Linked DNA regions of Drosophila melanogaster. The protein of the gene in region 4 interacts with the protein of the main gene of each other region in a pairwise test. Each region holds a gene or a part of one and is shown on either strand. Other genes may lie near its edges.

Evidence for each region.
Region 1: the proteins of PolA1 (region 4) and Kap-alpha3 interact in a two-hybrid assay, tested with the Drosophila melanogaster proteins (one study listed by BioGRID).
Region 2: the proteins of PolA1 (region 4) and Dpit47 interact in a two-hybrid assay, tested with the Drosophila melanogaster proteins (one study listed by BioGRID).
Region 3: the proteins of PolA1 (region 4) and Set8 interact in a two-hybrid assay, tested with the Drosophila melanogaster proteins (one study listed by BioGRID).

The regions. Positions count from the first base shown.
Region 1 is NT_033777.3:9,573,941-9,579,299, forward strand, and holds Kap-alpha3 (karyopherin alpha3), read right to left. Parts: upstream 3,794-5,359; 5' UTR 3,708-3,793; exon of another isoform or gene 3,668-3,707; intron 3,534-3,667; exon of another isoform or gene 3,370-3,533; 5' UTR 3,328-3,369; coding exon 3,268-3,327; intron 3,209-3,267; coding exon 2,828-3,208; intron 2,768-2,827; coding exon 1,937-2,767; intron 1,873-1,936; coding exon 1,696-1,872; intron 1,630-1,695; coding exon 1,534-1,629; 3' UTR 544-1,533; downstream 1-543. Other genes in the region: Son RNA binding protein, read left to right, coding at 4,240-5,359.
Region 2 is NT_033778.4:6,660,135-6,663,811, forward strand, and holds Dpit47 (DNA polymerase interacting tpr containing protein of 47kD), read right to left. Parts: upstream 1,985-3,677; 5' UTR 1,795-1,984; coding exon 1,165-1,794; intron 1,108-1,164; coding exon 547-1,107; 3' UTR 511-546; downstream 1-510. Other genes in the region: Adf1 (Adh transcription factor 1), read left to right, coding at 2,314-2,314, 2,435-2,623. UniProt on the Drosophila melanogaster protein: May act as a co-chaperone for HSP83.
Region 3 is NT_033777.3:14,314,532-14,321,036, reverse strand, and holds Set8 (SET domain containing 8), read right to left. Parts: upstream 5,000-6,505; 5' UTR 4,834-4,999; intron 4,727-4,833; 5' UTR 4,657-4,726; intron 4,561-4,656; 5' UTR 4,426-4,560; coding exon 4,170-4,425; intron 4,099-4,169; coding exon 2,279-4,098; 3' UTR 543-2,278; downstream 1-542. Other genes in the region: Crz (corazonin), read right to left, coding at 5,428-5,677, 5,887-6,101. UniProt on the Drosophila melanogaster protein: Histone methyltransferase that specifically monomethylates 'Lys-20' of histone H4. H4 'Lys-20' monomethylation is enriched during mitosis and represents a specific tag for epigenetic transcriptional repression.
Region 4 is NT_033777.3:21,666,025-21,673,282, forward strand, and holds PolA1 (DNA polymerase alpha subunit 1), read right to left. Parts: upstream 5,727-7,258; 5' UTR 5,622-5,726; coding exon 5,606-5,621; intron 5,548-5,605; coding exon 5,353-5,547; intron 5,300-5,352; coding exon 4,281-5,299; intron 4,216-4,280; coding exon 1,655-4,215; intron 1,595-1,654; coding exon 1,116-1,594; intron 787-1,115; coding exon 590-786; 3' UTR 538-589; downstream 1-537. Other genes in the region: Jhbp16 (juvenile hormone binding protein 16), read left to right, coding at 1-112, 229-502. UniProt on the Drosophila melanogaster protein: Catalytic subunit of the DNA polymerase alpha complex (also known as the alpha DNA polymerase-primase complex) which plays an essential role in the initiation of DNA synthesis.

The DNA.
Region 1 (5,359 bases), about 12 Mb from region 4:
TGTTGACGGAAGCAAATGTGTCTGAATCGAATGCATCGCTACCAATACAAGTGCAGCATCTCTATAAATAGCAGGCAAATGCAAGTTTTTTAGGAGTCACGCGACAACAGTGATGCGCCATTTTTCACTAATACAAAAAAATTAATATCTAAATCTTATATTTATTAAATCTCACAGGAAATGACGTATTAAAACACATACAATTACACAATTATAAAAATAATTTTAGCACCGCAACAGCTGGGGTACTACAGCTAGACAATCTGCCATCTCAAATTCTAGTGTTGGTAAACGTTGTCCCGCCTGCATATATAAGTCAAAGTATACTATTTTCGAAAAATTAGGTAAATTTCAGTAAAAGATTTGTACTGCACGAGCTGGAACCACTTTCATAAAGTTAACTTTCATCACAGAATTCGGAATGTCCTATAAATAATTATAGAAGCCCATGTAGATGATGGGTAAGTTACACGTAAATATTCTGAGTAGTTCCAAAAACAACCGCCAGGCGAAACTTTCTTTATATGAAAGAACGAATATGTAAAAGTAAAATGAAGAGCTATTTATTCCCACACTCCTCAAGATTTAAAAGTAAAACATACATCACATCACTCAACTAAATCTAACTGATTTAAAGTATCCTATACTGTATACAGAACACTAGCGAAACTGATGCTTTGCAGATAAGTCATTAATACAATTTGATCCCTCAATTGAGGGAAACGCCCAGTCCCTTCTGTTGCAATCCGAATTCGATTTTCGATCTGATTGTTTACAAATATTTACTCGATCTGTTGCCATGTGAAAGCCGATTTTTCAGCTGCCCTGCCAGGTAGACGGGCAATTGCGCATTAATGGGAAACGTGCTCAAGTGACGCACTAGCTGAAATAAACGCTAATTATTAACAGCTCGGCCGACGGACAACTCGAATGCCTGGTCTTGAAACGCGACACACTTGTTCTTATAAAATTCCGCTTAACTTATCTGCCTGGAAACAAAATGATGAGTTGCCTTTTGCTTTTATCGTTTTCATGTTAGAAATGTATACATATGTAATTTCAATTACAAATCAGAAGCGTAAATATTTAAATAATTTCATATAAATCAAATAGGTCTACATTCTTTTTGAAATCTGTTTCTCATTCCTGTGTTTATATTTTGGATGATCTATAGCAGAGTCGCTTCAATCGGAGAAGTCCTTGCATTGCACATTCACACACCCAAGAGTGTGTGTATGTCTGAATTTTGTAATTTTGTTAACACAGAATTGAGAGAAGCTAAAACGGCTGCAGCGGATTATCCGTTGTGTATCCTCCAGAGTTCCTATTCTCGTCCCTAAAACGAACCCGGCTGTCTAATTGCTGCTGTGTGGTGGACAAAATATAATGCTATTATTATGTGAATTGGTTGACGGCTCGTCGGGCTTGTTCATACACAAGCGATTGTGTACGAATAAACGCCAAATTATGTGGTGTTGCACGTGTTTGGTTTTCACTTCACTGCTACTGCGCGGCTGCTTTCTGATTAAATCGTTAAAAGTTAAATGAGTTCATCGTTAGCCTATCGGCGTGTGGATCGAAATTGTATTGTGCGCCGTCGGAGGTCGGTGCCATGTTAGTCTGTTCGCCCTGTAAAGGATGCATCAAAAACGTTTTAGAATAATAACAAACGGTTGACTTAAACTGTTAGCTCACCTCATCAGTGAAGTATTGATCGATGATCTCATAAGCTAGTTTGTAGATTTCAACGTTTTCGTGGCTCTGCAGACGCTCGATCTTGGCCAGGCCCTCGCATTCCTCAATGCAGTTGGCCACCGCCTCAACATGAGAATCGGCCACTTTTAACATATTGTTCAGACCATCCAAAACAACCTTTAAAAAAAAGGGGAATGTGTTACTCAAAACAAATATGTGAAGAGACGCAAATTATACTTACATTTATAACTTGCGTATCCTGGCATGAAAGGAGGTCACAGAATGGCGGAATGACGCCCTCCTTGATCAAGGTGAAGACCTGTTCGCGGTTGCCGCTAATGGTCAGATTGCTGATGGCCCAGGCAGCCTCCTTCTGTGTCTGGAACTCGCCCTTGCTTAGGTTCTCGATAATTTTGGGCAGGAGACCCACGTTAATAACGGCCTGCACCTGCGATTGATTTCCAGCGGTTATATTGGAAAGGAACCAAACCGCCTCCTTTCGGATCTTCTCCTTGGGATGCGAGAGCAGGCCCGGGAAGTAGGAGAGCGCGTCGTAGTTGAGCACAACCTGTGTCTGCTCATCCGATCCAGTCACAATATTGCCAACAGCCCGCAGTGCGGCTGTCTGTACCTTGACCTCGCTGTTGCCCAGCAGTGGTATCAGCTTGGGTACAACTCCACTTTCAATGACCATCTGGATCTGATCGTTGCCACCGTCAGTCAAATAGCTGATGGCCCAGACCGTGTCCACCAGGATGTTCGTGTCGGTGTGATGAATGAGCACATTGAGTGCGGGCAGGATCTCATGAATGGTGGCTGTCGGGGGAGCCGGATCCTTGTTGCGGCACAAATTCACAATAACCCATGTTACATTGCGCAAGAATGTGATGGGGATGTCTGGCTTGATGAACGACAAAAGTGGCTGCACGACTCCGTGCTTAATGACAAAATCGCGGAGCAAAGGACCATCGCCTATGATGTTGCCCAGGGCCCACACGGCTTGTTCGCAAACATTGGGAGCGGGCGAGTTGAGAAGTTGAAGGAAGAGCGGCACGGCACCGGCGGCAACAACCTATACAGGATTATATTGCATTAAAACAAAGAAAGTGCTGAGAGGGAAAGCTGAACGTACCTCGTTGGTCTGAGCCGATGTGCCAGAGGCAATGTTGGTCAGGGCCCAGGCGGCCTCGAACTGGAGCATTGTGTGATTGTGTTGTTTGAGGCACTCCACCAGGATGGGCAGAATGTCGCTTTGGATCAGATCGTTGATGGGTGGATTCTTGTCCGACGACAGCAGCTTGCGGGCAGCCTGAACAGCGGCCAGTTGCTGTTCCGGCTTGGTGGCGTCTGCGGCTGCCTTTGCCAGCTTCTTCAGGTCAATGGACGAGGACAACTGCTCCTCCTCATCTGTGTTCGAGTCCAAATTGGGCACATTGCGACGCTTGAGAATGGTCTCTTCGCGCTTGTTCTTCCTCAGCTCAACGGTGACTTCATTTCTCCGACGTCGCATTTCCTGCAAATTAATTAATATTATAATGTTTCCCATTTCAGCGGTAACTTCTAACTACTCACATCCTGGTCTTTCCCTTTGTTTTTGAAGTTTTGTAAACGATTTTGCTCCATAGACGTCATTTTGTCTGATTTCCTTGTATAAGGGTTTGCTTTTTCGATTGGCTGTTAAAAAGTGAGTTTTTAAAAACTATTGAATGCGATGTTGGCGACGTACGCCTCCTAGCGTATTCGATGAACAATTAATAATTTGTTTCAATTGCACACCAGCCAATGGGAAAAATTATTCGCACCCACACCAGCGCACATCCACGAAAAAATAACGTAGAATCGACCAACACAGTTGCAGCATAACACGATGGCGCAGGCATTGAAAAAAGGAAATGGCGAAAAAATACATGAAAATTAGCAATGCAACGGGCGAAAAAAGTGTTTCTCTTGGTCCTCGGTAGAGGATACTTACGTTTTTAGCAAGTAAATCGGGTTTCTCCCACGACACATACACTTTCTACGTCTTTTAAAAGTGATAAAATTCTTTCCTTTTTATTAAAATTGCAATCAGTGACAACGACGTGAGTGAAGTTGGCTGCGGTTGGCAATTCGGGACTGCCCACTTATAGGCAGGGTCGATTGAAGCACCAATCGTCAGATCTGAATTTATGTCGACTTATTTTTTAAATTTAGAAATTTTAAGTTTACTCAGTTGGAGTTGTAAGCTTATGAACCAGTTGAACATTATTTAGGAAATATTTCATTTGTCTTAAAAAGCATTATAGCAATTCTTATTATTTAGGTTTTTTCAAGCAGGCGCTTGTCGTGACGGTACTATTACACAACTCTAGCAAAGTATCGATATCTTTGAGCCCTGCGAACTGTAGATACCATTACGAGTGTCATCGCTATTATTGAAACTTCTGTCCAAGCAAGACGTGCAGAAAAACGCTTAATCGCGAACAGCGACAAATTCGCTGATCTGTTGCGGTAATCTATTAGCATGCATAGACACTAGGACGATCCGCGCCCAGCGAGAGAGCAATGACGGAGAACACAGAGAAAGGGGCGAGCGTAGAAACGCCTCAAGTGGCGGGGTCTCAGACAAATCCTCCGGTTCAGGAGCCACTTGCACTGACCAAGATTCCGCCAATTAAGGTAAAGAGCGAACGACCGGACGCAGAGGTGGAGGCCAAACTCCGGGCCATGAATGCCAAGATCAAGGCGGAGATGGTGACTTTGATGCGGAGGAGCAACAGCAATGAACTGGGCAACAATGACGAGTCGGGGGAGAGCGAGAGCTCCGCGTCGGCGGACGACAAGAAGAACATTAAGCCTGTAAAGTCCTCGAACGAGATCCTTGCCGAGCTGTTCGGCGTATTCAATGCCGCTCCACCAGAGGAACTTCTAGACGACAATCTGTTCAAGAAAAAGAAAAAGGTGAAAAAGGAGAAGAAGGATAAGAAGGCCAAGAAAAAGAAGACGACCAAGTCAGATGGCGAATGCAGCGACTCGGAGGCGGAAGGCAAGCACAAGCATAAACGTAAGAAGCACAAACATAAAGACATCAGAGTCAAAGACAAGGAGAAGGATCGGGACCGGGACAAATCTAAGGAGAAAGATCGGGACCGCGTTACGGACAAATCAAAGGAGAAGGATCGGGACAGGGACAGGGATAGGGACAAATCCAAAGATAAGTTTACGGCAGCACAAGCTCCCTCCGAGAAGGAGAAAGAAAAGTCTGAGAGCCGGAAGCGCAGCGCTGTGGAGCCTTCCAGTCATTCCGAAAAGCGCGAACGACATGAAAGGGAGAAGCATCGCGACTGGGAACGAGAAAGGGAACGGGAAAAGGAGCATGAAAGGGAACGCGTCCGCTCCAACAATAGCTTTTACAACGGGCAACGTGAAGCGGATCGCTTGAAAGGATCTGAATCAGCGAGCACAAAGTCACGGCAGGAACAAGATCTCTCCGATATCTCGCTCTCCGATGAGGAGTCGTACCTCCGGGAGAAGGCTTCCAACGGCCGTAGACGGGCGCACAACAGCTTTTATGATGAAAAGGAGGAATTGTCGGTTTCACCCAAGCGTAACGTGCGCGAATCCAACACCAGGAGAAACCGAAAGTCAAGATCTCGCTCGCGTGACCTCGGCATAGACAAAAAGC
Region 2 (3,677 bases), on a different chromosome or scaffold from region 4:
TTTCCCACGATGCACTTAGTATTAAGCCTTATATGTATGGTCATCCTGCTTTGTCAAATGTATTTTAACGAACCATATCCGGATCCACTTGGGGGGTCCCCTAGTATTACTACTGTTGTGAACCAACGATGAATGTCTAAGAATATGCTCAATTATGAAAATTTACAAAAACGCTTTTATACGTATTAAACCAAAAACCACATTGTTGACTCATTTAGGCGCCTTGTTGTTAAAGAAAAACTAAATTTAGCTAAACAATTTTCAATTCTACAGATGATTAATCGTCTACCAAAATGGGCTTACGCCGCATCAGATATTTTTTGGCGGCGTAGCCTGAACTACGCTTTTCGGCTTCGCATAACATATCAGAGATTAGTTAAACTTACAATAAAATGCTTCAAGATAGCATAACCAATGCTGAACTGTACCGTGACTAAACCATAAGCTTACAAATAAAATATGCCACAAAAATGAAGTAAACTTTACAAGCAAATGAAAAGGTGTTTGTTTGTTTTCAAGAAGGAATCACTTTATTTGCTCACTGTCTTAACTGTAAACCATGGGTCGTCGCCGTTCGTTTATAAACTCCTGTTCCACTCGCGAATCCTTGTGCACCACATAGAAGAGCAGAGCGCCACCGGAAACGAAAAACCCCTTTTCGGCGATTATCTCGGCCAGCTGCTTCTCCTCGTCCACCTTGTGGACACAGCCCACCTTGCGGTTCTCGTAGTAAACGTGCACGTTACCCAGGCGGTAGTTGTGTGCCTTGTCGTATGGCAGCTTTTCGGTGAGCAGCGTCGCCAGGCAATCCCGCATGGTGGTGGTCTCCGGCAGCTGCTGATAAAAGTCGCTGTACAGGAACTCGGGGTAGGAGAACGCAGCCGGCCAGATCAGAGTGCTGCCGTCCTCGTCTAGGTGCACCGGATGGTCCTCCAAAGGCAGAAACTTTGGATAAAGGAGCTCCTCACTGAGGACGTCCTTTTTGCCAACTTTTTGATCGTCAAACTTAATGGCGCGCTGCTCGATGGCGTCGCGGAGTCTGTGGAAGCGTGTAAGCCGTCGCTTTGCCTCGGCAGCTTCCTTGCGCTGATTGCGTTCTATCTCGAGCTACGGAAATAACTTGTTTAATGTGGGTTCCTATCCAGTTGGATCACGTATTCTAACCTTCTTCATCTTGTTCTTGTGCAGCAGCGCGATGGCCACCTCGTTGTCGACGTCCACCTCGAGCAGCTCCTCGCACATCTGGGTGCACAGATCGAACCTCTCCAGCTCGTACGCACACTGTGCCGACCGCCAGCGGGCCTTTGTGTAGTCTGGCTTGTAGAACAGAGCTCGCTGGGCGTCGCTCAGCGAGGATCTGTAGTTCTTGATGAAGAAGTGAGCCGCCGAGCGGTTGTTGTAGAGAACGGCTAGCACGTCGGGATTGTCCGTCTTGGTCTTGATGCCCTCGGTAAAGCTGTAGATTGCCATGCGGAACTTCTTGTGCTTCATGTAAAAGTTGCCATCCTCCTTGTAGTTGAGCGCCAGCTCGTCGCGCGTGTTCTCCTCCGGATCGTACTTGAGCTTCTGCAGACCCTCGAACATCGGATGCACGTCATCCCCTGGCTGAGGAGCACGTTTCATGAAGAACGGGTGCTTGTCCATCTCCTCCTGCCAGCGGTCCTCCGGCCAGCCCTCCTCGTAACGTTTCTTCTCCAGGCCATCGATAAACGCATCCAGTTCCGCGTCCAGCTGGGCCGCCAGCTCCAGACGCTCCTCATCCGTCCAGGCTTTTTGTGCCGCCATTTGTTTCATTTGGTCTAATCAGAAACAGTGTGACCGCAGACGAACCGTTACAATATACCAACTGGCCAAAGGTGCCGCACATTTCCTAAAGGTGGCGCCTCTAAAATAAGGGTGGCCCTCCGTCTATCGATAGTCGTACGCTTCCTTCTTTAAACGAGCTAAACTCGGAACGAATTATGATCTTAACATCTTAAATCTTAACATGGTAAAACTTTAAGCCTTTTGACGCTTTACGCAGCTGTTGTGATATATCAGAAACATCGATAGTCGCCATAACATATTGTTATTGTATGAGAGTTTTAAAATTATCGATGCGCTGATGACCCCTTCATCGGCGTTTTCCCACCCCTAATTGGCAGAGACGCGACTGAGCTGGGACGTACCGTTACCGTTGGCAGAGACGCGACTGAGAAATAAAATTAAAACGTCGACGTTCCTTCCTCGTAGAAGAAACCAATCAAAATAAAAACAAACAGAGCGTGCGTTCGCGCCAAATACTTAACAACAATTAGCAAACGTAAGAAGCAAAGTGAGTGTCGTCGGCTGCGGGAGCCCGTGTGCCCAGTTTGGAACTGGGATCCGACCCAGTCCACGTCCGTCTCGTCCCCGCTAAATTTGTAACTCTTGTTTCCCCGTCTTGTCCCCTCAGTGCATACCCTCACGGCGGCCATTGAGATGGACAAGCTGGATGCCAATCTTGAGCAGCAGTTTGATCTCAATCTCATCGAGGCTGTCAAGCTGAACCCAGTGATATACGACAGGTCGCACTACAATTACAAGCACTTTGTGCGCAAGGCCCAGACCTGGAAACAAATCGCCGAAACGCTCGGTGTGCCTGGTAAGTGAAATTCGGCTGGTTTTGGCTACGGGTTTTCTGCTTTCTGTCAGCCGTCTTCGGTCCGTGCCCCAACCAGCCCCAGCCAATTGATTAATTCTGTGCGGGCGCAGGTCGAAGGGGCGGGACAAGTCAGTCGACGACGACGACAGAAAACGACGCAAAAGTGAACGGCGACGCGGCGCAGTAGCTGGCTGATGGTTAGGAAATGGCAGGGGGGGATCTATACGTGTGAGGGTGGGCGCGGGCTGCACCGCTCATAAATTGCATTTTATGCGAACTTTTTTTACTGCATTTATATGGTTGCATTTAGAATACAGTTCATTAGTAATTAAACCTAGGTTAATTTCTATCTGTAAAGATCTGCTCTAAAATGAGCGCCCCTTTCGGGCGCTCGGACTGCGGCCCTGCTTGCTCTGTCGGTGTGCAGACTGTGCTCAGTCGATATTTTTGAAGTTGCTGTACTTTGCCGTCGCGTCGCAGTAGTTGTCTCGCTCGCTCCGCAGCCATTCTGCTTGCGCCAGCGTTTATTTTCGTACACTGCGACTGCGATGTGCGCTGCTCACACACGTATACATGCATACAGCATACAGTGGCAGAAAACAGTTTGGCACGGGTTATAAATACGTATTTATTAGTAAAATAAATAAGTTGCTCAGTTCTTTAGACGAAACTATGGATTTTATTTTAATATTGAATAGGATGAGAATTCGGAAAATTAAAATATAGGGCTTTGGAAAGGTCAATAGATAAGCACAAATTAGAACAGCTGTGTCAACACTTCAGAGTCCCACTGTACATACCGGAGACCGACCAGGCAGCTTTCGTTTCGTTTTCATGAGTATACCAACAAAATGTACCGTTCACCCCACCCCCTCGACGGCCGTTGATCGAACCTTAAATTTTCGGCCAAATCGCTGCACCTCATCCGCTTTCGATTATGCAAGTAGGTGGCTGGAAAGCTGGAGTTGCAGTCAAGTGGAGCCAGCAGCAATGCCACAGGTTTCCGTCTCCTGGCAGCGGGCAGCGGGAGTCGGCGACGTCACAGCCACCGTCA
Region 3 (6,505 bases), 7.4 Mb from region 4:
GTATCCCAAGTAAGGAAAAAATCGGCATTACTTTTAAAAATGTAAAACTATTAGTTCCATGATGATTTTAGCTTTAATCAACCCCAAAGTTAGAACCCTAAATCGGAAAACTCCGCCTATCTGAGGAATATCATCAGTTAATCCCTGCGGCAAAGCCTACAAATGCATTCCACTAGCGGCGAACTTCCCCTTTTGTATATCCATAACAAATACTCCAATGCGATTGCGGGCCACCACCACCACATGGATGAAAACCCAACCCGCCTGATGCGAATTTTTTCTATATTGTGTACTTATAACAAGCGACAGGAAAGCGAACTAACCAAGCAAACATAGTTAACGTGTTGTATATGAAATAGGATTTGTTAGTTGATAGAAGAACTCCCATGCATTCCAAGTGTAAATGAGTGTGACTGGTTGCCATGATGATCTCCAGGTAATCGCTGGAAAACGAAACCCAATCCGCTCCAGTTCTTGATTATTGTTTTGTTCGTGTTAATGTGTTTTCATTTATTTATTTTACTTTATGTTACGCACTTTAAGTTGAATGTGTCTGTGTGTGTGTGTGTCTGAAAAATTATAAACAATTATCGACTAAAACTAAGTGTTTGATGTAATCATATGTTTTTAGGCTTAAATGTAAATTACAAATAGATTTCAATTTGTTTTGTTTCATTTTGCCAAGTCAATGAAAAAAAAAGGTAAAAACAAGAACATGATTATAGATGGTTGCTGCTTGGTTTTAAATAAATGAATTACCTATGTACTAGAACGTATTAAAATATATTTACCATATTGTATAATTAAAAGATATGCGCTGATTAAAATAAACCTATTTAAAAAAACAAAATCCTTCAATATATTGGAGCATTCATTTAAAATACAGAAATCTGGTTCAAATGGGACAACACAAATTTGAACTAAGTCGATTAACTAACGATGCCGTATTTTCGGGGGCAGGGGCGGGGTGATTTATCATTTAATTGCTTGAGTGTGTGATTGAAACCTGCGTGTAAGTAGAGAGATTATCAGTAAGTCGAAGCACTAGGTGTCCAGCAGGCCACTACTCTCCTGGAGAAGCCTCGAGAATTAATGAGTGTGTCAATGGGTTAAATCAACAATTCAGTAGTGTCAGTTCCTAGGGGTTTTTTTTTTTTTTTTGGGACAGGTGCGAGGGGGAGTGTATAGCTCTATGGCAGTAAATAGTACGTAATAGTTAGAAATTACACATGTATCTAATATAAATATCTATATAAATAGTGTACAATCGATTCTTGTCAATGTGAATGCGTGGCTTCATCAACATCATCATCTCTTTTCAAATGGTCAACAGTTTTTCGATTTCATTCAATTATCTTAAGATGCCTTAATGCTTAAGCGCGTTGTTTTTATTATTATTATTATCATTATTATCTCTCCTTAACTTTAGCCTTGCTCTAAACATAATGAAACGCTAACAAATCCAAAAAGATGCTCATGAGTTTGTGTAAGGAGGGAGGGGGAGGGGGGGGTTGCTTGGATCACGGGTGGATCGATAATGAGTCTTATAGGGATTGAATCGTAATCGTACAATTTAAAGGCATTTTGCTTTGGGGATCATGGGTCTAATATCAATTTACAATCTGTATAGTCTAGGTCTTTTTGATAAATTTGTTCTTAATTGATAATTTCGATTATTTCACTGACCCAAAGGGAAATATTAACTTCATTTGTAACTTATTTTGGTAACGCCGAAGATCGAAATTGACATTAGACCTATTTCTGAGGCAAACTTGTTAGAATTTACATTGATTACTTTTCGTCCCTGGCTGGAACCACCCTTGGGTGTGGGGCGTGTGGGTTTCGCTATCCGTTATGATATTTTGAACTAACAGTTTATATACTTTTCCTCAAATAAGATCTAAGCTCGGGGCTGCCCAGAACCGGTGTCAAATACGCCTCTCTCCATTCCGATCCAAATTGCCGGAATTCGTAATGATTGAATTGGTCTTACCAAAAATATAAGTGCTTGCAATATTGATATAATTTTGCTTAATGAAACTTTGTAAATGAATCAAATTCCGGCAACTTATCACACGGAAACAGGTCTGAAAACAATTTTGCAGTGGTTCAAGGCAAGGCAATCTACGTATAAAAGCTAAGAAAGATTCCCTCGAGCCAAAAACCAGTTTAGCCCAGGTCTTATTATTTTAAAGATTCTCTGCCCTGAACATGGTAAATAGTCTTCGTTTTAAGGCTGTACCGCAACCCCTTTCGCGAGCTCCTGGAGAGCTCTTCCTCAGAAGGCCAACCAAGGATGGTGCAATAGTGACTCCTTCGATCGGTCCCCGTAGTCATAGGTCAGTTCCTCGCCCGGCTCGATGTCGTCCTTGGCCAGGAGTACGAGATGCGGCCGCTGTTTGATAAGTACTACTTTGGTCATTAGGTTACCAGCCCGCGAGTGATTGATGAGGCGCCCCAGCTTGCCGGTGTCAACGGTTGCATCGATGCAGTACTGCTGGGACTTGTGCTTGAAGTAGTACATATAGCACCCAGCATTCTCGTCCAACGCATAGCGTTTCTCCCGTTCCGCGGCTTCGCCTATAGATATGAGATCTCCCACATACTCAACCACAAATTCGTTGCGTTTAAAGGGCCGATCGGCGACTACGCCTCTTCCCTTGCCCATAAAGTGGCGTACTTGGAGACCATCGCAGCGCTCTTCCAGCACTGCTTGCTCCAAGCCTCGCATCCATTCCTCCTTGACGGCCGTCTTAGTCTTGCGCACACTCCTTCGCACCGGGAAGAAGTCCGTCATCTCACGATTGCCGTTGGTGGCAGCCAAGGGCAGCGGCGGTTGTCCCTTCGTTGGCCCCTTGCTTTTGGTCTTTGATTTCACGGGCGCAGGCTTGAGCATCGTTTTCATGCCTGCTTTGTTGCTGTTCGCTGTGGCTGGTGCTTTGTTCTGGTTTTCACGCTCCTCGGCAGCCTTGATCAGGGCTCGAACGTCGTCCTCGTCATCTCCTTCATCATCGTCGTCGTCTAGCACCACGACGATATCATCCTGCTGCTGCTGCTGCTGTTGTGACGGTGGTTTCTGTAGCTGTGGCTGGTAAGGCGCTTGTGGCTTTGGCTGGTTCAGTCTTCGACGCGACTTGCAGGCTGCCACCGCTGCTGTTGTGGTCGGCAGTTTTCGAGGAGACTTGCGCGGCGACAATGGATCCGCAGATCCGACCTTGCAAATCCCTCCAGTTACCTTCAAAGCCGTTTTGATTGGCGAGGGGCAGAGGATGCGATGCGGTGTGGCTGGTTTTCTGCGTCGGGGTTGCCCCGCTGGCGATTCTGTATTGGCAGTGAGACCACAGGCTACTCCGCTGTCGCAAGAACTACTGTCATGTTGATCCAAATCGAAGTGCGGCAAGTCCAGCGCCTCCTTTTGTCCATTCAGGCTTACTATTTGATTGAAGCGTCCATTGAGACAGGCGTTTAGCACCGACGGAGGTGATGAGAATACGGCTCCGGCCAGTTCGAAGCTCCGATTGATCTTTATGCTGGAGGCTTTGGTGGGCGTGCGATCAATGTCCAGGGTCAGTACCGGCTCCTGCAGGAAGATGTTGTCGGTGCTGCTGCTGTGCGTGGAACTGTGGCTGTCCCTCAGCGCAGAGCGATGTGTCTGGAAGTCGGCCAGAGAGCCCAGTCCCTCGAGCGGCTCTGTGACCTTTTTGATGTGTGGAATTTCTGGAGTCTGCTGGATCTCCTGCATGACATCCATATCATGCTGATAAAAGGGCGAATTGGAGGACGCTCTGGAACTGCCATCGAACAGAAGTTCCTCCACCACCTGCTGCAGTTCCTCATCCATAAGCTTTTGTTCTGCCTTGGCATCTACTTCGTCGGCAAAGGGAAGGTTTTCATTTATCTGCTTGTCTGCCAGCTTTAGCACCTCGTCATCTAGTTTTATCTGTCCATTTAGCTCCTCATCGTCCAGTTTCAGTTCCTGATTTCCTAGATTCAACTGCTCCTCTGTGTGTATTGTCTTTTGGGAATCCTTAGCGGCAGCATTGGCTTTGAAGAAGTTCTCAATGGTGCGAGTTTGTGAGCGCGTGGCCAAGGGAACTCCTTGAAAAATAACAAACAAGGGGTATTTTAGCCAACACAGCTAACCTAAAAAGTACGAGAAGCGTACTCACCTATTGTGCGACCCGCTTTGTTGTCTTTGTTGTGTGCCATCATTGTGGCTTCCGGCAGTTGGCCATTTTGAGTGACCTTCATCAAACGGCAGTCTTTCCGCTTGGGGCTGGCAAAATACTGATCCTCCAGCAGATTTCCCGCCACATTCAGTGGCAGTGCCTGGTCAACAGGAATTCCCGATCCCGAGGAAGCTCCACCAGAGGATGAGGATGCGGCTTCCTTGGCGGGCCGTTGTCGTCTTCGCACCATTATCATTTAAAATGGGTTGGGGGCGCGTGATCGCTGTGTGGGCGGTAGTTACTTGGGTTTTTTTTTGGCGTTGGCGCGTTTTTTTCTGGACACGCGTTTTACCTCTCACACGCACACGCGGAAAAACCAAACTGCAATTACCTGAAGGTAACCGAAAAAAAACAAACAACAAAATTAACGTAGAACTCATAAAACAATTGCACATTACATGTGTGTTTTTTTTTCCTCCTTTTCTACCTCTCTTACTCTCGCTCTCTGCCATGCACTTTTCTCCTCTACTCGCCCCTCTTGCGTACAGTTTTCGCCACTGAAAAAACGTAGTCGTTATTGTTGTTGTGCGAAGCGAGCGAAAGAGGAAGAAGACCAAAAGAAGGGAAAAAAAGAGGGAAAATAATGTGAGTCCCCGCAATGCACCTCGCTCGGAAAACTGTCGTCATACGCAGAAGCGCATTTTTAAACGGATGCGATCGACTTTATGCATGGCAGCATTTCAATGGCGGGGGAAATTAATTGTTGCACTTTTCCGCAAACTTTTTTGGTTCTTTCTTTTTTGCGTCGGTTAGTGTTACCAGATTGCGCATCTGCTTTCACCTCTCGTGTATGCGGCCTCATTTTGTAATACCAAATTCAGTATATTTTCATATTTTCAGCATGTTTTAAAGCTGTGTTGGGCAGTACTAAAGTATTAAGTTGAAAAAGATATGTTAAATCAATTTGACTAAATATGAATTATTTATATCTAAGTGGTCTAATGGTACCATTAGAAAAAGACGAAGGTTTTGGATTTATTACATACATTTTCTAATGACCTCATGTAAATGGTATCTGAAACAACTCTATTATTTACACTATTTAAATATTTAAAATACTCTTCTTGGATATTAAAAAAAGACAGTTAAGTAATTCATAAAAATCCTGTGTTTTATTAACCGTTTACAACAATTTTTTTTACATTTTTGTAGCATTTTTTGCTAGTTTACAATAGATTTCACATTGAACGGATAGTGGCTAATGTTTTCCAAACACATTGGGTTCGGCGGATGCTCCTCCAGCGGCACTCAGCTCTTCTAGGAGTTCGTTGGACTGGCGATGTCTGTTGGGGATATTGGCACTTGAGTACAAAACATTCTCGCCATTAGAGTTGCTCAGTCTGGGATGGGCGCTGTTTTCGGGATCCGGATCTACTCGGTTGGCATTGAAGTCCGAACCGGGGACACAGTTTCTGGCAATCAGTGAACGTTGGAGCTGCGATAGACAGCTGGAGGAAAATTTTAAAATATTACTTTAATACATAAAAAACAAGAAAATAAGTAGGAATGAAGTGTATAAGTAGGGCAATTATAATATATAATTCCTTAGTTATATGATTTTAATAGGTATCTAATGGAATGTTTTTGGGTTATCATATTCTTTATGTATTTTAAAAATAAAGTTGTATATTTCTGTTATTCTTTCGATGAAACTTACCGCTCGAGCCTACGATCGCTGCTCCAATCCTGCAAATCGTAGAGATCCGTGAGTCCCAGCTCGCTGGCCCGATGGAGATGGCCGTTGGCCAGGAGGGGAGATGCGGCGTTAAAGGACCTCTTGCCGTTGGTCCATCCGCGGGAGTACTGGAAGGTCTGGCCCATGCACATGGAGAGCGTGAAGAGGAAGAGGGGCAGCAGCAGGAGGCGCAACATGTTTCGGCAGAAGTTAGTCCTGTTTGCAGGACACTCGGTAATCTCGGTTGGTTCCTTTCGCGTTCGAATCACAACTGCGTCTGAACTATTGATGCTCCTCGACGGGCTTTTATATCGTTGTTAGATAGCCATTAAGGATTGATGCCAAAGGATGCGTGATGTGTCTGCGTTTTCCTCCAGAATCCTTGCTTCAATGCCCTCCAGAAACACACACTTACCCAGATTAACCGGGGATTATTAGCACCCAATTGTTTCAACTTGGCAGTTAGCGCCCACATGTGGCCACGCCCCCAGCTGCCGCCACCGCCCCTTGTACCAACGACAGCTGGCTGCTCAAACTGAATGCATTTGCTGATTGGAAAACTACCACTTTTCCCGGGCAAAATCCGAAAGTGGGTGGCAAA
Region 4 (7,258 bases):
CTCAGTATTTCCCCGACAAAAGTCTGGAGGGCGAGTACGAGTTCGCCGCCAAGATGCTGGGTACTGAGATGAACAGAAAAGGCCACTGGAACCTCACCCTCTACGATTACAGGTGGGCACCGAGTTGCATGGAAATATGTATTTCCCAAGCTGTGTTGCAAACACCAGTATTGTTGATAGCTTTTGGCTTACATGACAACCTATCGCTCACTTTATTTACTTCCTCAGTCAAACCACCAGCGTTAGGCGCATCGGCGGTCCGGGCTCACTCATCAAGGTCCATGTGGAGGTGGACCGCATCGGCGGAATGGAGCTGCACATTGAGAACTTGCTGCAGGGACAGCCCCTCAACCAACTGGCCGATGGAGTCATCAACAGCATGTGGCAGCTGGGATTGCCCTTCATCAAGCCGATGATTAACGAGTTGGTTAGCACGGCATTTACGGATATATTCAACGAGTCCTTCCGGCACTTTCCGCTCGAGAAGTTCCTCGCCACGTGACCTCATCTAGTTAACCATACTGTATCTCTGTATCTCTTTTGTAGTATTTTTAATGGAACTTATAACAAAGGCTAGTTAATTAAACACTTAGACCACATCCGCCAAAGCACTCGGAATTGCTTCGATCTGGGGCTGCGCCACGGACGGTTGCAGGGACATCTGAGCCAGGGATCGGGCAAAGAGCTTGCTTAGCGAGATGATCACGTAGGAGGAGCTCTGCAACTGCTGATCCACCGTTTCGTATAGGAGTTGATAGGCCTGCTCCAGCTCCGGTGTGAGGGTGGCTTGATAATATGGACAAAATATAATTTCAATATGAAATGCTGTAAAACTTAATGATACCAATCTTAAGGGAAATATATGTATTAGGTGTCAGAACTAATATATAAACTACAACAATTTTTAAGAATTCAAGGATACAAGCATAAAGAACTACTGAAATCCGTCGAGATCACGGGAACTATAAAATATTTCGACTGATTTTTCCTTTCATGTGTCTTGTTATTTAGTGTCGATATTTCTCTCTCGTACTCCACATTCTTCATTTTGTTCTTATACACAAACTATTGTTTTAGTTTTTGATACTGCTTATAACTACATTGTATTTACTTACGTTTTTGCTGCAGCGTTTGCTTGCCGAGGTCGAACATGAATCGCAGGTAGCACAGCTGATTGTACAGGTCCCGCTCCGTATACTGACGCAGCAGGCTGCCGCTCCTGCACTTTTGGCACAGCGGGCGGTGGGATTTCTTCCTCAAGGAGTGTGTGCGGGTGTTGAAGTTGCAATCCGGGTGATCGCAGACCAGCCAATTTTTATAGAACCGTTGCACATACTGCCGCATGGAAAGCTGCAGCTGATTGCGCACGCTTGCCAGGTACTGAATCGGTGCCGTTTGGCACTCGGACTTAGCGCATTGCTGGAGTACGGCTATGTGGGAGTTGCTTGGACCCGGTCGGTACGCAGACGCCATCAGCTGCTCCGTCTTACAGGTAACGCACTGGAAGCGGAACGGTTCGCACAGGCGATACAACTGCAGAGTCGTCTTGAGCAGGGACTCACCCTCCGACTGCTCGGTGTTCTCTCGCTGGGTTCTACATAACCAAAATATTCGTTAGGTTAGAGTTTGTAAGGAGTAATAAGATAGTAAGTACCTCTGCGCATTCTGACGGAACTTGGTTGGGTCCATGCCCAGACACTCGGCGATGCGACTCGCATCGGTTCCCTCCAGCACCTCCACCATTCGCGTGACTACCGGATGGATCTGGTGTCCCAGGTAGTAATTCGTGTCCAGCTGCAGCTTCTTATCCTCACTGGTCTTGAGCTCATCCAAATGGTATGCTCGCTGCATGGCAGCATTTGTTGTCCCATCCAAACAGATCACATAGTCCACCATATCGCCCTTTTTGTACCGCCTATTACGCTCGCGATTCATACGAAGGGCCACCTGGACGTGGGGCAATGAAGCACTATTGGCATATTCCTGGGGAGTCCGAGTTAACTGTTTGGTGATGACAAACAGTGGCAGCGGTACTACACCCTCTGCAATTTGAGTTTTGATCTTCTCCAGTTGGGCATGCACTGCATCCAGTTTCTCCTCCAAAGGCTTTTCCGACAGCACTTCATCGAGAACGGCTTTTCCCACCATTACAGCCAGCTGAGACCAATCGCGACGTACTATATCCAGGCCCTTGTGCTCCTGTTCACGCCTCAGGTTTCCCTTGGAATCCTTGCTCAACTTGATAGCGGCATACTTCTTTTTCTTCAGCAAGAGCAAACAGCCAAATACTCCATCGATATCCAATTCCAGCTGCTTGTATAGTTTATTTACACTCTGCTTAATATTGTGACCAATCTTGTAGACCTGGTCGTAGTCGGTTATGTTGGTATTTATCATCAGGGAATCTGTGTCTCCATAAACAACGTCATAGTTCATCTTTTGCACGAGTTGTTGTGTGTTCGTGAGGATTTCTCTGCCCTTGTGGGTGACCAAAGCAGCCAAGTGCTGGGCAAAGAACCGGGAGTGGGCGAAACCCAAGCAACCATACATGGAGTTCGCAGTTAGCTTCAGGGCCATCTGCCGAATGTGGTACTGCATCTGGAGTTCCGGCGAAAGATCAGGCGCTGCCATTAGCTTTTTCACCTCTTTTCGCGACTCCACCAAGCGTTTCAATTGAAGGGGTAAGATTCCAGGTTCCGTTTTCGAGTCGGGTAGGGTGGGCAACTCATCTGCATCCACCGGCTGTTGGACGGTGGTGAAGCATATGTTGTACTCCTGTATTATACTGGGGTACAGGGAGTTAAAGTCCATGAGGAGAACGTACTTCTCGTAGAGACCACGCATGGGCTCCAACACTAAGCCACCAGCATAGGCTGCCTTCTTTTTGGTTTGCATCGTCGCATCTGCACCTGAAAGCGTAGCATCCGTATCTCCTGCACCACTTCGTTTAGAAACCGGCTTCTTGTCCGGCACTATGTAATTCTTCTCGTGGAAGGCATGCAGCAACAAGAACTCATTTCGTTCAGAACGACCTCCTTGAAGGGTCCTGGTCATGGTATTGCCGCAGATATTAGTGATTTGTAGCGCCAACGGCATGATGTTGAGCTCACACATCAGCCTTAGTAAATATGAATTGTCCTGCATGGTGAGCGATATGAGCTTGGTAATGCTTTCTCCTTTCTCATACATCTCTAGCAGATCATCGGCATTCACTTCCATTCTCTCCGATTCCTTAAGCTTCAGTACTTGTTTGCATAGCGTTTGCAGATCATAGGATCTTGCTCTTATACACTCCTCTGCAGATCGCTTTACATCACAAACCATTCTGCCGACGAAATGTTCCAGCAATCGCTTGCCAAACGATTGGCTCAGCCTCAGTCGCCCCATTCGAGACCATTGGGGAATCTTCAGGGCTACAATTTGATCGGTTATTACATTTAGTTGACAATCCATGGAATCGAAGGTTACAATGAGATCTGCATCTATTTTCTGGTACTGAGCTAAGAACCAACTCAACAGGGCTCTCTCTGAGTCATGTTTGTGCACTGTGGTAGACTTATATTTTGCCATCTCAAAGTTCAAATCTAAAGGCCAACTAACCACCGCCGGGCGAGTCAAAGCGCACATATGTCGATTGAAAGCGGGCTGTGGAGCAGGGCGGTCGATATGGAAACGATTGTGGGTCAGCATGGAAATCATGCATATCTCGTTTCTCGATGTTTTCGGATTCATTGAGGTGCGAACATTAAGCGATAGTAGCGTAAGTGGAGGTGGTGGCGCTGGCTTTCCCTTATCTTGCACCAACTCTACATTCTTGGGCTCTGTCAATGTGACCTCGGTGTTACACCAACTCATGGGAGTTGGGCTCACCTTGAATCCAGTCACCTGCAGCCAACAGGGACCTTTGATTTTCCGATCTAAGAGGAATCTTTCGAGTGCATTGGTGGTGGCGCCGAATATGTGTGCTATAGAATTGTATTTCTTGTCAGCCGACAAATTGGGCAGTGGTTTCTTTCCATCGTAGTGAACCTCCAAGTAATCGCAAGATTGCGGAACTTCAATACCGATAGCGTGATGGGCAAAACTCTTGGTGACCTTGCGGGATCGAAAGAACTCGAGCTTCAGTTGGTTTGCCACCTCGCTGTCGAACTCCTTGTATATGTCTGCGACGGTCACCTTCTGCTTGGTGGGCTCCTTCGAAATGGGATCTAAGAGCTAAAAGAATATATTCAGAAACAACACTTCACCTAAGGACTAAGTATTTGTAGAATAATACTCACAAATTGTCGGGGCAGCAGATAGAGCACACGGTTGATGTTCTGTACACGCAGACAGACGGACTTTCCATCTGCGGTCCGACCGAACAGGAAGACTTCGCCGGGCATTTTTACTGGATCCTCATAGGCCTCCCAGTACCAGAACCGAAGCTGTTGATCTGAGGAGATTGTCGAATCCTGCTCCGTGGTGAGCACGGACTTTTCAAAATCATCGTCCATTTGGCATATAGACTCCCAATTGTTCAGCAACCTACTAATGTCCTCCGATTCCGATTCCTTTGGCGATCCAGTTGTTTCTTTTTTGGGAGCTGATTTTTCGGCGACTTTGCTTTGGGATGTTTTCTCAGCTGCTGTTTTCGTTTGGGAAACCTTCTCGGTCTGCTGTGTCTTCTCCACATCAAACTGGTTTTCATCGTCATCCAGACAGCTAAAGTCCATTTCATTGTCGGAGAATGGATCTTCGGTGGCTTTTTTTGCAGGTGTCTTTTCAGGCATGGGCTCTTTTTTGATTGTAGGACTGGAGAAAAAGGCCACCTTTGTGTTTGGAACTGCTGCCTTGGGCTTCAGAATGCGCTCCAGCATCTCGTTATCGCTACTGGCCTCCGCTTTCTTACGTTCCTGCTCCTGAACTTTGATGTTGTTTAGAAAACTATTCATGTATTCCTTGGCAGCGGCGGCATCGAATTTACGCGACGTAACTGATATTTTCGCTGGGGCTATAACCTTTTCCGCCTTTTCTGACGTCGCTGCAGGCTCTTCCTTTATTTCGCCCAAAATATCAGCAAGGATATCATCGTCTTTCACACTGGTCTTTACATCCATCTTTTTGGGCACTGCATTGCTGAATAGATTCTTGATGGATGCTTTTCCTGTTACTGGTTTTTCATTCTCCCGTGGTCTCTTTTTGCTGTTGGGGGCAACACCCTTCTTCTTCTTCGAGTCCTTCCGATCCTCCTCCCCATCGGAGTACTCATCTTCGTCCTCGAAGAAATCCCGAAGATCTTCTGCATAACCAGTACCATCTAAAAGTTAAAATTTAGTATTATAAAGTATAGAGTTCAGAGTTCCAACTTACCCTCTTCGATCCAATCGTCACCGTACTTTTCCTGCGCCCTCTTCGCGTACTCCCGCTCATCAACCACATCGTATACATCGTCCACCTGGTCCTCCACTTTGCATTTGTTCTTGGTTCCCTTCAGCTGACGCAGTCGCTCCATGGCGGCGAACCTACCATTTTTGTCTACTCTCTGGCGCTTAGCGCGCGGTTCAGCTGGAAATTTATAATTTCGGTAAAAAATATGTTTAAGGGAGTTATCTTATTAACTTACACGGTGATTCAGACATTGCAACTGGCTAACTTTGATAATAATTTCCCCGTGTTGTGCTGCAGTTTGCAAAAATTGTTTTGTGACCAGGGCTGGAGGATGATCAAAGCGGGAATGGCGGGAACATATCGATAACAGAGCTACGATACATAAAGCGCTGCCGGACTTTTGCAATGTAATATCGATAGTGTCGTTAAGAAGAGGAAGAATGTAAGGAAATTAAAAAAAATAAAAGCCATACAATAACTTAATCCCAAATTGCAATTTTATTATTAAGTAACATCTCTATTTTATGAATTTCTGAGTGGTAATATATCGATAGGTGGCAGCGCGTTATGTTAGCTCTGGGCACTGTTAGCGTCTAATCTGTAAGCACAAATGATCGATTACAGTTAACACGAATAGTTAACATAACAGTTACAGCGATTTAAAATGACTGCTATATTTTGGCGGGAAATCCGACCTGATAATTGAAATGAATTCACCAAGTAAGAAAGAACAATGATCACCATTTAAAGGGCGTTCTTTTAGATTTTACATTTTCGAGCTTCAGCTTTTTAATTGCAGTGGATCACAAAAAGAAAAACTTTTCCATTAGCAGTTGCTCCATGAAGATCCCCTTTTAATGTGCTTGTCATATGTTTTTATTCCCAAATTAAAAGACAATAGTTTGTTTGGTTTTAATCGTATTTTATTTATCATGCATAATATTAGGCTTATAAGATATATATAATATTATACTTTAAATACAATATACAGCAATTTCGATTAAAATTTGTGTGGATTTGAAAGGTGATTTCATACCCTATATAATTATCAATGCAAAATCATGGTTTATATATATACACACATACACAAAACAGACTTACATATTACATGAATACATATATTTATGACTATATTTGCTGTTTAATTGTTATAAGCAAAAATTCGTACATATTTACAATTTAATAGTAAATATTTAGAATTTCTGCACTTGCAGTCGTTATATTTTACAATTATTTTCGGGTGTGTTGGTGAGGAAAGATTTCGGAAGATGAGAAAATATGGAAAATACTGTTTTAGGATAGGGTGATCGAGAGGAACTATAGAAAGGATATTAAAATGTCAGTCTACCAGAATGTACAGCAAAGCAGATAAAATAAGATAAAGGAGGGCAGTTAAGCAAAGCAGATAAAATAAGATAAAGGAGGGCAGTTATTTAGGATCCTTGAGGTATTTTCTTTAGCTATGGGGTGTGTTATTCATTTCTATATGGTTTTCATTTTTATTTCAAGCCACAGACATGGCACAACAATTTATTATGTTTTTTTTTTATGTTTTAAGGAATTTTTCTCCGTGTATGGTTTCCATAGTTTTGGCTAAACATTTAACAACAGCAACAAATATAAAAACAACAAGAAATAATCGTTAACAAGTGCAAGATGATACTGAAATGAAAAGAGAAGAAAAAGAATCAATGAATAATTCAGTTTACAATTGGTTTAATATTATACTATGTTATTATGTAACTATATTAAATCAGAATATAAAGTGGGTTGCAATTCTTATTCCAGTATAATTACATTGCTTGCTTAAATGTATTTCATATTTTTCTAAAGTTTATTTTGTATCAAAGAATTATCTTGATCTGGAGTATTCTTAAAAATACTTAAA